Drosophila melanogaster: one gene and its partners. The protein of the gene in region 2 interacts with the protein of the main gene of each other region in a pairwise test. Each region holds a gene or a part of one and is shown on either strand. Other genes may lie near its edges.

Region 1 (5,320 bases), on a different chromosome or scaffold from region 2:
CATTCCAAAGGGTGTGATAAATGTGGTCACCACAAACAAAGCGGCTCCCATTGGCGATCTCTTCTGCAAGAGTCCCGATGTTAGGGGTATATCCTTCACGGGCTCCACTGAGGTGGGCAAACTGCTGTTCCGGAACTCTGCTGATGGCATCAAAAGGATTTGTCTCGAGCTCGGCGGCAATGCTCCGTTCATTGTCTTCGATTCGGCGGACATTGAAAAAGCAGTGGATGGCGCCATGGCCTCGAAGTTTAGGAATTGCGGACAGACCTGCGTCTCCGCCAATAGATTCTTTGTCCAGGACAGCGTCTACGATAAGTTTGTTGGGCAGCTGAAAAAACGCGTGGAAGCTTTGAAGATCGGAGATGGTCAGGGTTGCGATGTGCAAATCGGACCACTGATCAACGAGATGCAGTTCAACAAAGTCAGTGGCTTTGTGGAGGACGCCAGGTCGAAGAAGGCGAACATTATTCTGGGCGGACAGCCGTTGCCCGACAAGGGATCCCTTTTCTACGCACCCACAATTGTCACAGATGTGCCACCCTCGGCGCAACTCTACTCGGAGGAGGTCTTTGGTCCAGTGGTCTCCATCATACGGTTCCGAGACGAAGAAGAAGCGGTAAAGAAGGCAAACGACACCAGGAGAGGCCTGGCCGGTTACTTCTACAGCGAGAATCTGCAGCAGGTGTTCCGGGTGGCCAAGCGACTGGAGGTTGGCATGGTCGGCGTCAACGAAGGCATCATCTCCGCAGCAGAGGCTCCGTTTGGTGGCGTCAAGGAGTCCGGTGTCGGACGGGAGGGTTCCAAACACGGTATCGACGACTATGTGGACATCAAGTACATTTGCATGGGCAACCTCAAGTACGACTGAAGTCCGATGGAGGGATCACCCCCACTGCTTTCATACGCTGTCTTCCACTAGAATGCGATTGGTTTATTGTTGTCTAATTGTAGAATAACACGCCGCTATATTAATAAATGTGCACAAAGTCTACCTGAAGCTAATAGATAATTTCCCTTTTTTAAAATAGCCCGCCTCACCTTTCGATTAATTGGGATTGGTTAACAATCGCTTTAAATTGACAAGAAACCGATCATAGAGACATCGATATCCGGGAGTAATCGATTTTTCTCCACCTCTGGGCAGACTATCGCCATCCCCACAGCTGTGCGACAGAGACAGAGACAAAATTACAATGCCAAATGACAAAATTGTAAGTAAATTGTTGATAAAAAATTAAAAAGTGCATTTAGGGTGGAAACTAAGCGAATGTCTTATTGGTGAAGTGTGTGCAGTGAAATTGGTCAAGTGTTTCCCTATAGCTACCCACCAAAAAAGCCGGCAAACAATGTCGGTTTTCCAGTTCGCTGGCGTTTGTTGTTGTTGCCTAAATGTATGGAAAATATATTTAAAGTGCATTTCAGCCGGCAAAAGCGAAGCATATAATGCATAATGAACCCATTTGGAAGCACTCCCGGCAGTGCAAATCCACTGCAAGTCCCGAAATGCGGCCAAAGGTGCTGGCGGTGAAATTGAATGGTACCATGACTTGTAGATTTTCCACTGAAAGAGTGCAGTCTAGGCGGCAGTAGGACTGAGGGGAGTGTGCGGGGGTTTTGAGACCAAAAACCGATCCAAAAACCAAATAAATTATTAACAATTGTTGGCTGCAATCCGCCTGGGGGAAATGCATTTGAGGATATTTCTGTCTAATAAAGCAATTTCTGGTTGATAGGGTGCTACACTCAGAAAAATGTCTCTGCGTAAAATTAATTTTTGAAATATATGTTTTGTAAAATAAGAAAACTGCACATACCAGTAAATAGCACAACTTAAAATTTTAAATACAAATTTAATATAATTTTTTTGTTTTAAAACTGCATGCAGCTTGTCTTTCAAAATGCTGTTTTATTTTTTATTTAAAGCTCATACAATTACAGATCCGAATTTACATATACAGGCATTAGTTCTCTTTTTAACTATGCACTCATTTTGGCAACGAATTGCATTTGTTTTTAATTGCGATGCCAGATAAATTTCCGCAGTCAAGTTCGCGCCTTCATGACGTACAGTTCGAAACACTAAGCAAAAAGCCCTACAGGCTTTGGTAGCTAATAGCTACACTTGACAATCCCCCTTACCCAATCTACCACCCACCACCGCCCACACAAGAGCCCACCCAACCGCCCATCACCCAGTGACCCGTCCAGAAAGTCCAGAAAATGGCCTGTGCACCACTGCTGCTCGAGCAATTCATCTACAAGAAGCGCAATTTCGCCTACGCCTTTGTGCGCCATCGTCTGTTTGTGTTATGTAAACAATCGGTTGGATCAGAAATTGCCAAATTCACCTGTCCTAGTACTAATTAGAATCTGTTATTCATTTGTTAATTCCAGCTAATTCGCGTTCAGTCGGCGGAGGGCATCAAACGCATCGAGATCTCGCCCAAGTCAAATCTAAAGCATCTGTACGACAGCGTTCAGAATGCCCTGAAGGTGGATGGATTTGGTCTCTTCAAGGAGCGCAACTTCCTCACAGAGCTGCAGGCAAGTGGCTCCCAGCTGGTGGGGACTTCCTTGAGGCATGGCGACATGGTCTACTTAAAACAGATGGCTGGCACATCATCGCGCGTAAGTTGATCATATAGAGCAGAACGATCGGGGACTAACCTGCATTTTTCACCACTTCTCAGCGCACTAGCACCACTGTCCTGGACAGTCAGGCGTTCAAGACTAGCACCATTAGCAATCCAAACAGCGCTCGTCCATCCTTCAATGTGATCGAAGATGACGTGGACCAGGCTCTGAGCAAGGCTGATGGCACCATTAAGCGCGAACGTGATAGCAAGCTGTAGGCCTTGATTATACAATTAATTGTAAAATTAAACTGATCAACCTATAACTTTTTGTAGGTGCCACCACAATGCCAACGGCCGTTGCGTTCACTGCTCCGCACTGGAGCCCTATGATGAGTCCTATCTGAAGGAGCACAATATCAAGCACTTGTCCTTCCACTCGTACATACGAAAGCAGACATCCGGCATGGATCAGGGCAAGTACTTTGTCTTCGACGACATCAATTGCCGCATCAAGCCGGGATGTCGCGAGCATCCACCATGGCCCAAGGGCATCTGCTCCAAGTGCCAGCCGTCGGCCATTACGCTGAATCGTCAGACATATCGCCACGTGGACAACGTCATGTTCGAGAACACTAAGATCGTGGAGCGCTTCCTCAACTACTGGCGCACCACAGGACACCAGCGCATGGGATATCTGTATGGGACGTACGAGCAGCACACTGATGTTCCGTTGGGCATTCGGGCCAAGGTGGCTGCCATTTATGAGCCGCCACAAGAGTCTACCAGGGATTCGATCAATATTCAGCCGGATGAGTTCGCCGACGATGTGGATGCCGTAGCCAGTGCGCTGGGACTGAAGAAGGTTAGTTAGTTATAGACAGTAGCTATGTAGCATTAGTATTGACTTTTGTGACATTTATAGATTGGTTGGATTTTCACTGATCTCATCACGGACGATGCGAGTATCGGCACTGTCAAACAGATCCGTGGCATCGAGTCGCACTTTATTACGGCCCAGGAGTGCATCACAGCTGGCGAGCTGCAGAATCGACATCCAAATCCGTGTAAATATGCCTCCAATGGCGTCTTCGGCTCTAAGTTTGTGACCATTTGTGTAACAGGTAAGATTCACGATTTAATACTGCTTAATGAACTAGTACCAAAATAGTTTTTAACATTACAGGAGATAAAACCAAACAAGTGCACATGGAAGGCTATGCGGTTTCGGCTCAGTGCATGGCTCTGGTGCGCGATAATTGTCTGATACCCACTAAGGATGCGCCCGAGCTGGGCTACGTGCGTGAATCCACGGACAAGCAGTATGTTCCCGACGTTTTCTATAAGGTAAGTTAGAAAGTCTCCCCCCCATTCAAGCAAAATCAGTTATCGGGCAACCTTTATTGAATTACGTTCACACATTTACACAAACAACTTCCATATTTAGACATCAATACGAATGGGATTTGGTTTTTCAGTTTGATACATGCAAAGAAAATTTGGGTGTCAAGAGCAACGCCAATTCAAACATTTGACATCTAGAGGCTTACATTATCTTGGATTACGTTGATTTATTTATGGAACAACTTCATTATTTTCCTTATCCTTCTCGGTTTGTACTTCTCATCATTGCTCTGGGTTCTCCTTCAAACGTTCATTTTATTTTTCCTATACCTAGGACATTCATAAACAATGTTGTTATTTAGCGCATATTCAATTGTTAAAATAACTTTCTGAGCAACTGCCAAGCCAATCACAATTTTCCAGTTATTACCCTTATTTTTTTTTATTTATTTTTATTTTGCCAAACTGTTTTGTTCTATCTAATGCTTAATTGTGATACGCGTTTTTATTATTTTGGAAAATATAAGATTTCGATTTGATTTTTTTCTTTTCAATTGAAGTTAATCGTTGATTGATTGATTACTTAAAATAATTTAAAGTATAATAAGTCTACAAATTTCGTAAAATTGATTTCGATTTGTTCCTAAAAAGATTCTTTGCCTTCCTTTACATCGCTAAGGTCATATTATTACTTGATTCCCTTATTTTTATGGATGGCTATTCTTGGCGTTCATTATTTCATCCATCACAAACATAGCCTTAGTTATGATCACATCAAATGCATATTTAGACACCGAAAACTATCTCGTTTATTTACTTATTGCTAATAGGTTTATTTCATATTAATTATTAACTTGAATTGACATTAATTACATGTCAGCTATGTATTTGGATTTCACCTTACTCGTGGTTTCAAATTTTTAAGTTTTTATTGTAGCTAATTTACTATATCCAGGTATCGTCGTAGCGCTCCAACGCACATTTAGTGTCGTTTTCCTTAAGCTAAACTTATTTAAATACTCAAGGTCTGTTACAATTTCCACCTTGTCCATGAATCTGAAATGTTTATAGATCATTGATAGTCTTTTTTTTATTTAAAATAGCATCCAAAACGTTTCAATAAGTTGTAAATTGTTTATAAAAATTCTTTCTTTCTTTGTTAAAAAAATTGGCTTCTGTTGCTGAAAATGTCGAGTTTCAAGTGTCTTACATTGATCGTTTATTTTTACAAAATTTATACCAAGATTTGCATTCCAAGAATAAAATAGATATTGGGTGGTGTTGTACATTCAAAGTGTTTAGGAGCTTTCGGTTTGATACTGTTCGATAAGTAGGATTAGCTAATGGATCAGTCGGACTTATTATTGGTTTAAATGATATTCCCCACAATTCCGGATAATGCT
Region 2 (4,258 bases):
TTGCTGAGAATGTGGGCGTGACAGGTTTACGCGGCTTGTGGGCGTAAAGTATTTTGGCATATAAATTTACAAAACTAACATAAAAATCAAAAAATAGTAAAACATTTTTCAAAAGTTTGGGCATGACAATTTCGGGCTGTTTATGGGCGTTAGATTGGAAATCGGTTCTACAAAATTGCGCTACGTCTATGTCTCTAGAACCACTGTTCTTAATCTCAACCTTCTAGCTTTTATAGTTCCTGGGATCTCGACGTTCATACTAGATCGACTGATCCTGATCAAGAATATATATATATGTAGTTGGTCGGAAACGCTTCCTTCTGCTTATTACTTACTTTTCAACGAATCTAGTATACGAATATCGGGTATAAAATTTATTTTAAATATCTTTGTTAAATTTTATGAGCTGTTGATAACGAAATCGAAAAGTTTGTACTTTTTTTTAAATCAAGTGCATTAAAATTAAATTTGTGGCTTAAAATGTATTGTAATAGCTTATAACTTATTATGCTGTAGCATACGAAAAATGGTTCTTAAAATCCTAACTTGCATGAGTTGAATATTTCGAAATTTCAAATGTTCCCGGCTACTTAGTTGTAAAGTGTGGCCGTTTCTCCTACATCGAAATCGATAGGTTCGAAATGTAAACAAACATGGAAACTGAAACTGAAGCGCAGAAATTGTATTAGCTATGGCCAAAAATGTAAAGAAATTAACGTTGGCCAACAAGTTGGCAAAACGCGGAGATCTTATAAAACCCACGGAAATAAAAAGTCGTCCAAATAGGGCGGATAACGTGAGGGTAGGCGGAAATGCATGATAAACAATGAAATTGATACTCAAGACGCAGTTTCTAAATCTTCCAGGATATAGAGGATCTGGTTGGTGTATCTGCTGGCGCAGCAGGATCGAGTAGCTCAGTGTTCTTCTCCCCCGTGCAAACCCGCAAGCAGCGTCTCTTAAATGGGGAAGCCGTGAAGAAAACTAACATTAAAATGGAGCCCTTGTCTCCAGCTCGAGTGGCACCCAAAAAGTTTAGAAAGGATGATCGCATGGTAACCAGAGTTCAAATGGGTTCGGCTACTGTGGTCATATGCAAGGTGGTCCCTGATGCTGTGGACTCCCCAGTGAGAGTGGATAAGATAAGAGAGGAGGTGGAACCCCAAATAAAACAGGAAGCTCCGGAGGATTCCCCTTCTTTTTCTGAGGTGCAAGCACCACATCCTTTGTGGTTTAACCACCTAGAAAACATTCGCATTATGAGAAACTCCAGAACTGCGCCAGTGGACACCATGGGATGCCACCGATGCGCCGATTTAAAAGCAGACTCGAAGGTATTTCCAATAAGTGGAATTAAGTACATAGAAGAATATGTTACAAGCAAACAACTTCCTTGCAGACCCAGCGCTTCCAAAACTTAGTGGCATTGATGCTGTCCAGTCAAACCAAAGACCAAACTACTTATGAAGCCATGAATCGCCTTAAAGACCGAGGTCTAACTCCACTGAAAGTAAAGGAAATGCCAGTGACTGAACTCGAGAATTTACTGCATCCCGTATCCTTCTACAAGGTTTGGTGGAATTAATAATAAATAAATATATCGCACTTACTCTCGATCTCTTCCAGAACAAAGCTAAATACCTCAAGCAAACCGTGGAGATACTGACGGACAAGTATGGTTCGGACATTCCAGATAATGTCAAGGACCTTGTAGCTCTTCCAGGAGTTGGCCCCAAGATGGCCCATATATGCATGGCAGTGGCCTGGAACAAGATAACCGGAATCGGAGTGGACGTCCACGTCCACCGCCTTTCTAACAGGCTGGGCTGGGTGCCGAAGCCCACCAAGGAGCCCGAGCAAACCCGTGTGGCGTTGGAGAAGTGGCTGCCATTCAGCCTCTGGTCAGAGGTCAATCATTTGTTCGTGGGATTCGGACAAACCATTTGCACCCCAGTGAAGCCAAATTGTGGGGAGTGCCTGAACAAGGACATTTGTCCTTCAGCCCATGCTGAAACTAAAGAAAAAAGGAAGAAAGACCGATAGGAAAGAGGTTCAGCGAACGCTGAAAAAGGTTTTAGGTTTCTAAGTGTTTCTGAAATTATTAGTGCTAAGAAAAATATTGTGTTACCCATAAGAAAATAAATGAATTATTAAGGGGGCTGTAAGTCCTGTAAAAAATAAAAAATTTTGTGGTTTTTCTTTTTTTGTTTTAACTGAAAAAGGTATATTCCCAATTTATTACAATAATTCAGTTTTTCAGGAAAAATATTGAAATATTGACACTACAATATTTCGTATTTCTTATATACTAAATAGATGTTATTCCTACGTGTTCGACCTACGGCCACACTATCAGCTCTACGTTCGCGCGTTTTATTGTTTACCAGCGGCCCTTGTGAAATTATATAGAATACTCAATTACAAATCCCTCAAAAGCCAAGAAAATGAATGATTCATGTAAGTATAGCCCGTAGCTCAGAGAAATTAAGGGAACTAATAACGAAGCTCGTTTTAGTTGGAGATTTCAATGCCACACAAACTGCGCCAACTGGAGCCGCCAGCAATCAAAAGGGAGAAGTAAGTGAGTGAGACGCCAGTAAAGTTGCACAACCTAACATGATTCCGTATGATTGCAACTAGGGAATAGTGCCCCTGGTGGTGAAGCAGATTGTGGACGCCCCAGAGGGAAACATCGAGTTGTTCGGCATGCAGTACGCCATGGCATGTGTTGTGGCCATAGTGCGGAACGTGGAGACTTCCTCGACGAAGATCACCTACACCCTGGAGGATCATAGCGGCAGGATCGATGCGCACTACTGGCTTGAGGAGGGCGACGCTCTCAAGGCACCCGAAGTAATGGTCAACAACTACGTGAAGGTCTACGGCACCACCCGGTCGCAAGGCGGTTCCAAAACCCTAATGATCTTCAAGCTACTGCCCGTTTTGGATCCCAACGAGGTGTGCACCCACCTGCTGGAAGTACTCAATGCCCGCTACAGGGCCGAGGACTACCAGAGCAAGGGTGGAGCTGGAGCTGGTGCAGGGGCTTCTTCCGGCTCAGGCTCCATAGCTGATTTCACCGCCTCCCAGAGCTCGGCCATTGTCAGTGGGCTGGAGCCCAAGCAGCAGGCCGTATTCCAGGCCATCAAGAGCAATGTTTCCGAGGAGGGCATCTCCCGCAAGGAACTGAAAGCCAAATTCTCCCACATCAGCGACTCTGAGTTGACGTAAGTTGTTTATCCAAAACTATTGCATCATTTGATATTCTTTATTAATTAATATTAATTATAACATTTTATTGTTCCTATTTTTACAGCAACATTCTGGACTTTATGATTTCCGAGGGACACATTTATTCCAGCATTGACGCAGATCACTTTATTTGCACAATGTAAATCAAATCGTGTAACCACTATTTAATTTAAAAATGCGTATTGAATATATGTATTAAGTTTTTGAAAAACGGGAACATTTTCCATATATTAGTTGTACATTAAATATTTCTTATATAATCAGAAAGTGATTTTGGGATATTTTTTATTGGGACTGTTGAAAATGTGTATTTGAGGAAATCTTGCTCTTCAAGTTGCCGGTGTATGTGTATATTTACGGCTTATCATATGAAAAGTCTTCGGATTCATAGTCCTAAGGGAATTTAAAATATCTTACAAAAAAGATAGAAAACCTGAAATATTTTAATTATTTTATGTTTAATTAATATTCTTGTTCATTTATAAAATTGTAATGGATTATAAAGTTTTTTTGAATCGTTTCACTTTGCTTCATTTGATAAAAGGATGTGATAAGTTCATACCGCTTTATTTCATTATCAATTTATTTTTTAGATATATAACTAACTAACTTTTAACGCTAGTAAGTTAATTGTTTAATTAGGTAATGCATATTTTGATTGTATATCGGGCATAGTTAGATCGGATTGCAAAAAATTTATAAAATTCATTCAATGCGTTTTATTTCATTAGTTTTTGAATTTATCATAGAAAATTACAAGCTCAGGAATCAAAATCAAAACATAATAGGCATGCAAATCAAAAATTAAGATTAATATTTGTTGTGGGAATTTATAGCGCAAGAGAGCATTCCCCTTGGTCCCCAGGATCTTGCCAGTGAAGTTGAACTGCGCAAGTGTAAGGATTCATTTTGCGGTCGGAGTGGATAGCTAATTGTATAAAAAACCACCTTGGGATACTGATTAACGGGCACGAAGACCTTTTGGGTAATCTTTATCGGCTTCTGC
Region 3 (5,320 bases), on a different chromosome or scaffold from region 2:
CCGTCTCTTCTCTTGCTTGATCACAGTTTGCCCGACTGCGTATCGCTGGGTGAAATGCTGACCAAGAGTGCTGGAAACCTAGAGGAGGCCCTAAACCTCTTTCGCAAGCTTCTCGAGGATCTGCGTCCCTTCTACGACAACTTCATGGATATCGACGAGCTTTGTCATGTGCTGCAACCATCGCCCATCAGCAGCAAACACAAAACACGACTGTTCCCTCTCAAGGATCGCGTCTACTTGAAGCTGACCATCGCGGATCCCTTTGCCTGCATTGCATCCATGTCGCTAAAGATCATTGGGCCCACGGAAGAGGTGGCCCGCCTGCGCCACGTTCTCAGCGATGGTCTAAGTAACTGGGACTCCGAAATGAACATTCACAAGAACCTACTCCGAATGTTCGACTTGTGCTACTTTCCCATGCCAGACTGGTCGGATGGACCCAAGCTGGATGAAGAGGACAACGAAGAGCTGCGCTGTAACATTTGCTTTGCCTATCGCCTGGATGGTGGCGAGGTGCCCCTCGTCTCCTGCGACAATGCCAAATGTGTGCTAAAGTGCCATGCCGTCTGTTTGGAGGAGTGGTTTAAGACTCTGATGGATGGCAAGACCTTTCTGGAGGTCTCCTTCGGCCAGTGTCCCTTCTGCAAGGCGGTAATATTGCCTATCATTTCATCTATTGCCAATGTACAACTGCTTTATCTTTTTCAGAAGCTGTCCACCTCATTTGCGGCACTTTTAAATGATTGAAATTTGTAACCATAATATTAAAAGCAAATATTTAAGAGTAACTTATTATTCAAATAATCGTAAATATCAATTAGGTTTACATCCACGCCATCAAACGCCGTGTGTTTTTGCTAAAAGTAGTTGTGAAACGAATTAAACAGGTCCCACCTGATGGACCGCATCATTCTCCTGACGACGCCAGCAGCAGAGTTGACATCTGAAAAATCGCTTCACAACGCGCCAGCCTCATTCCATATCGCTTGAGATCATCCGCATCATATTCCGCACCACATAGGTGGTTCCATTGAAGGGCGAGTACTCGCTGGCTTTTCCAATCCGCACGCTGGAGCCGGCCAAACCGAAAAACACCTTGGGTGTTAGGTTGGGATGCACGGCCTTGAACTCCCACCCGACGTGCTGGGCGCAGAACTTGCACAGAATAATGTGCCACTGATAGCCGGGGAACCAGCTAAACTTTGTGGACGGCTCGCCGCTGTAGCCGATGGCATGGGATATCACCCGGTACACGGTGTTTGTCTCGTGGATGTAGCCCTCTGTAAAGTAGTTAGTTTCAGTGAATTCATTGCTTATAGAAGACGGACATTGGACTTCTCCTTATGCTTACCTGGATTGCAATACTGTGTCTGCACACCGTGTTTGGACATGGCAAAGAGATCCGAGCAGAGGGCCAAGCTGCTATTGCAATATCGGCAAAAGAAGAGTGTCTCGTCCTTGAACGTGCTTTTGATCAATTGGAGGCGAGTGTTAACCGAGTCGGTGAGGAAGGTAAGCCGCATCATCTTCTCGGTCAGGTGAAGGTTACGCACCAACCAGAAGGACAACTGAATGGGGCATTTTGGCATTGTGTCTATCTTTTGGGACTCCAGCCTCTGGCGTGCTCGCTCCACAATTGAAGAAAACGAATACTCTTGGCAGGCATCAGATGGCCAGGTGGTAGTGCTTAGCTGGAACCTGCGATACTTGTCGCGCATCGAGGGTATATCCCGAAATCTGGCCATCGAGCCCATGTCAACAGTTTGGAGCGGTTCGGGCAGGAAATACTCGGGCAATATTTTGACTTTGCTGAAGCATTTGCTAGTTGGATTGCGAGCAATGTACTGCGGTGACCTGAAAAGATATGGGATTAATCATGGAGAATTTAAGGTGATCCGTATAGTCAAGACTCACCCTTTTATATCATCGCAGTTGATGACAATGCGCTGCAGTGCTCGTGATTTGTAGAACACCAATCCTCGGCCGCTTTCGCCCCTTTCGTAGATCTGACACGTGACCCCATACAACTTGTGTGGGTTGTCCTCCGGCGGCTGCAAACGCGGGAAGCTTACACCGAAGATCAGACCGTCCAGACCGGGCATATCCTCGTCAAACATTCGGCCGTCGATCATGAAGGGAAGCACCTCGCCGGGAAAGAGGATGTGCTGGTGCAAGAAGATGAGCATGTGATGGACGCTGCCCACCTCCAAGTAGTCCACTCCGGGCACGCGACTCAAATGATTACCGAAGTATGAATGCTCCGCTGGCAGATTGGTGTCAAAGCCAATGTCGATTGGTGGTCGAGGTGGCTGCTGTGGCGGTGGATCAACGGGCTGCTCGGCAGCCTCCTGGCTCGTTTCCTCGCTTGTGCGACTGCGCCGTCGCTCCTGGCTAAAGACCATGCTACGCACTCGCTGTAGGAAGTTGTCCCCACTGAGCAGTGCAGCGATTCCACCATCCCGATTGCGGGCTTGCGAGACCATCATGTCTACGGCGGAGCGCAGTCGGTTCTGCGGAATCATCCAATGGGGCAGGCTCTCCAGATCGGAATCATCTGGAAAGGATGGAAAACGCGGGTTAAGTAGGAATGTGCAGCACAACGATTGTAAGCCAACTAACCTTCACTTCCTGGACTTTCCAGAGACATGTCACTGCTGGGATGACTGCCCTCGCTTGCTGTGTCGTCCTGCAAAACGTTCTCTACCATGGCCTCAAGTGCATCCCCTCCCTCACCATCGGTGGCCAGTGGATCTTGGAAGGCATCTTCTGCCGGCGGTGACGGCTCGTCTGGCATTGCATTGTTCCAAGCCTGTTCTATCACGTCTACCTGCCGATCCTGGAGCCCCTGTGACTGTTGGTCCTCCAATTGCACATCTTCATCCCGTGCTTGCACAGAATTGATTTCTGCGCAGTTTCATATGATGAACATATGTTATTGGGAACATTTGGCGAGTGCTATGATGCTGCCACACCCACCTGAGTTCTCCTCTTCGTCCATTTGAGCCGTACAGTGTCTTTTGTTGCTTCGTTTTGCAGGTGAATTTTATATATATTTATTTGGTTTTTATTTTGACAAAGGAAAATAAGAGATGGGAGCTTTTCGATAGTTAGCGATTGGCTAACCAGTGCTAACCAATAATGGCAACATTTTGAAAATGTTCGGTAGTTGGGCGCCAAAATAGACTCGTAATGCTTATCGTTCTATATAACAAATTATTCGATTTTCAATTTTAATTTCTGATACACTTAGTAATTTGGTAGTCCACAACTCATAGGAAGACAATATAACTAAGCATTACTTAACAAGGAGTTCTTAATCCAATATTTCAAAAGCAAACGTAAGTGTGCAGATATTTTTTTTAAGTTTTTCCCTTTTCTCTTGGCTTAAATTTATATGATCAGAAAGTTATTTTTTTCAACTCATCGATAGAAACAGCTGAGCATTGATTGAGTATTGAGCATCACTAGCAAGAGCGGATGTAATCGGGAGAGCAATATCAATTGGAACTGGCCCTTATTGGACTATGTTTTAATTTCACTTTGTTCTGCTTTTCTGGTTATTCGCACTAAACTTCCAATTGGAATATTGGAATATTTCCGAGAAAACGTAAAACAATAACATAACTGGACCCAACTAAGATCGTTATCGTTATCGAAGATCTTCGTTTCCCATTGATTAAGATTAAGTCAAGATTGGCCAGCCTCATACTTGTTTGAATTGCCGTGAGTATCACATGAACAAGTGATTATACGGACAATGATCAATCCCCAACTTTTGCTGATCGCCGCGCTTATTGCGTTTATTGGGAAAGTGGCACACGCTCAAATCGCCTTTGTTGAGGATCAAGACATTGATAAGAAGAAGGCCAACCTTGCGGTAAGCTGCAGCCAGACACAATCCACATTTGTGATAAGAAACGCCAAAATGGAAGAGAAAACCCAGCCGGAACTGGGCAACATCTTTCGCCGAATACCCTTCCCAATCAGAAGTGAAAGTCGTTGGAGTCCAATTAGGAATTTTGTGTAGTGACCAATGTTCAAAAACATTTCATGATTGCTTTGATTTTAAAACTAGCTTAAGGTTCTAGTTAAATAATTATAATAACAGACTTTTAATTGTATGGATACTGTTGAACGTGATTGAAAAATTTTTTTTTTTGTTAAAAATAAGAAATACATTTATTTTATCACTGTGGTGACTTTGAGAGTTTCAAACCTTTAAACTTCTAAAGTGTGTGTTTGAAGTGAATTTCAAAATACGGGGACTGTTTTGGTAGTGTATGCAAGCCCCATTGGCAATAATCAATCGAATTCCTGCCTCACACCCCTCCGCTTTCTCCTCATCAACAGGGTCGCAAGCCACTGTATTCGCCAGCCCGATGCCCCAAGCACCAGCTTCTTTATCCGGGGGACCAGCAGAAGCAGAACGACTGGGTTTGCGACTGCGCGCCAGGTGAGCGGTCATAATGGAGCTACCATGGCGATGACATAATAATCTCCGTATGGGTACTTCCCCTTCGATAGCCACACTGTATTACCCGGAGACCGATGGCTGCTATCCGGCCTACCGACAGGGACCCTGTGAGGCTGGACAGATTCTGGTGCTCTACAAGGAGGAGATCATCCCGAAGTGCGTACGAAATCCATGTAACAGGGACGGACACTTTATGATTCGCGACACATGCTATGAGTTCGGAAACACCAAGAAGGAAGAAAACCCGTGTCCTTACCAGGAGGCTTCCTTTGTACTTGGCGTGAATCCCACCAACTTGATGGTGGACTGTGTGAAGCTGTCCGTTCAACTGGAGACGCGTATTTCGGACACGGAGCAGGCTCCGCCGGAATACTACGTTGATTTGGCCGAGAAATGCGCACGCGGCAGTCGCCTAATGGCTCAGGGAAAGTGTCCTTAAAGGATTTTAACATTATGTGCTTAAATGTATTGTGTTCTGTTTGGTAATGTGTGGAGGCCAGTGAAGAATAGCGAATTTGTTCCATGTTTAAGACAGATATAATATGATTACATACCATTTCTCAAAATGAAGGCAATTCTTTATTTTTCTTGCACAAGCAAAACGCTATTATGTACAACTAAGAACTGGCTTTCCTGCGCCTCTTGACGGGAGTGGTGGCGGGTACAGGGCTTTCTTCTTCGATAATTTCATCTGCTTCGGCATCATCCTCTTCTGGCAACGTGACGCCATCCTCTAGGTTTGGTTCGTCATTGGCAGTCTCCAGCTTGAGCAGCGCATTTTCCAGCGAGGCGAGGAAAGAGCTCTCGCCGTACTCCGGCCACTGACGAAACTGACTAAATAGCGTC

What was found. Proteins that work in one complex are often made in the same cells at the same time.
Region 1: the proteins of RPA2 (region 2) and Npl4 interact in a two-hybrid assay, tested with the Drosophila melanogaster proteins (one large-scale study listed by BioGRID).
Region 3: the proteins of RPA2 (region 2) and ohgt interact in a two-hybrid assay, tested with the Drosophila melanogaster proteins (one large-scale study listed by BioGRID).

What each region holds. Positions count from the first base shown.
Region 1 is NT_033777.3:25,620,480-25,625,799, reverse strand, and holds the start of Npl4 (nuclear protein localization 4), read left to right. Parts: upstream 1-2,054; 5' UTR 2,055-2,220; coding exon 2,221-2,322; intron 2,323-2,394; coding exon 2,395-2,628; intron 2,629-2,690; coding exon 2,691-2,848; intron 2,849-2,909; coding exon 2,910-3,438; intron 3,439-3,498; coding exon 3,499-3,697; intron 3,698-3,759; coding exon 3,760-3,920; intron 3,921-3,961; exon of another isoform or gene 3,962-5,278; coding exon of another isoform or gene 5,279-5,320. Other genes in the region: Ssadh (succinic semialdehyde dehydrogenase), read left to right, coding at 1-868; CG5071 (uncharacterized protein), read right to left, coding at 5,279-5,320. UniProt on the Drosophila melanogaster protein: May be part of a complex that binds ubiquitinated proteins and that is necessary for the export of misfolded proteins from the ER to the cytoplasm, where they are degraded by the proteasome.
Region 2 is NT_033779.5:20,924,233-20,928,490, reverse strand, and holds RPA2 (replication protein A2), read left to right. Parts: upstream 1-2,343; 5' UTR 2,344-2,444; coding exon 2,445-2,457; intron 2,458-2,515; coding exon 2,516-2,577; intron 2,578-2,640; coding exon 2,641-3,227; intron 3,228-3,316; coding exon 3,317-3,395; 3' UTR 3,396-3,516; downstream 3,517-4,258. Other genes in the region: Nthl1 (Nth-like DNA glycosylase 1), read left to right, coding at 692-802, 867-1,334, 1,400-1,570, 1,627-2,043.
Region 3 is NT_033777.3:10,046,974-10,052,293, reverse strand, and holds ohgt (ohgata), read right to left. Parts: upstream 3,096-5,320; 5' UTR 2,999-3,095; coding exon 2,977-2,998; intron 2,905-2,976; coding exon 2,620-2,904; intron 2,555-2,619; coding exon 1,915-2,554; intron 1,855-1,914; coding exon 1,352-1,854; intron 1,281-1,351; coding exon 973-1,280; 3' UTR 767-972; downstream 1-766. Other genes in the region: fancl, read left to right, coding at 1-651, 709-747; CG12811 (uncharacterized protein), read left to right, coding at 3,758-3,877, 4,351-4,453, 4,525-4,913; mtTFB2 (mitochondrial transcription factor B2), read right to left, coding at 5,092-5,320. UniProt on the Drosophila melanogaster protein: Substrate recognition component of a DCX (DDB1-CUL4-X-box) E3 protein ligase complex that mediates the ubiquitination and subsequent proteasomal degradation of target proteins.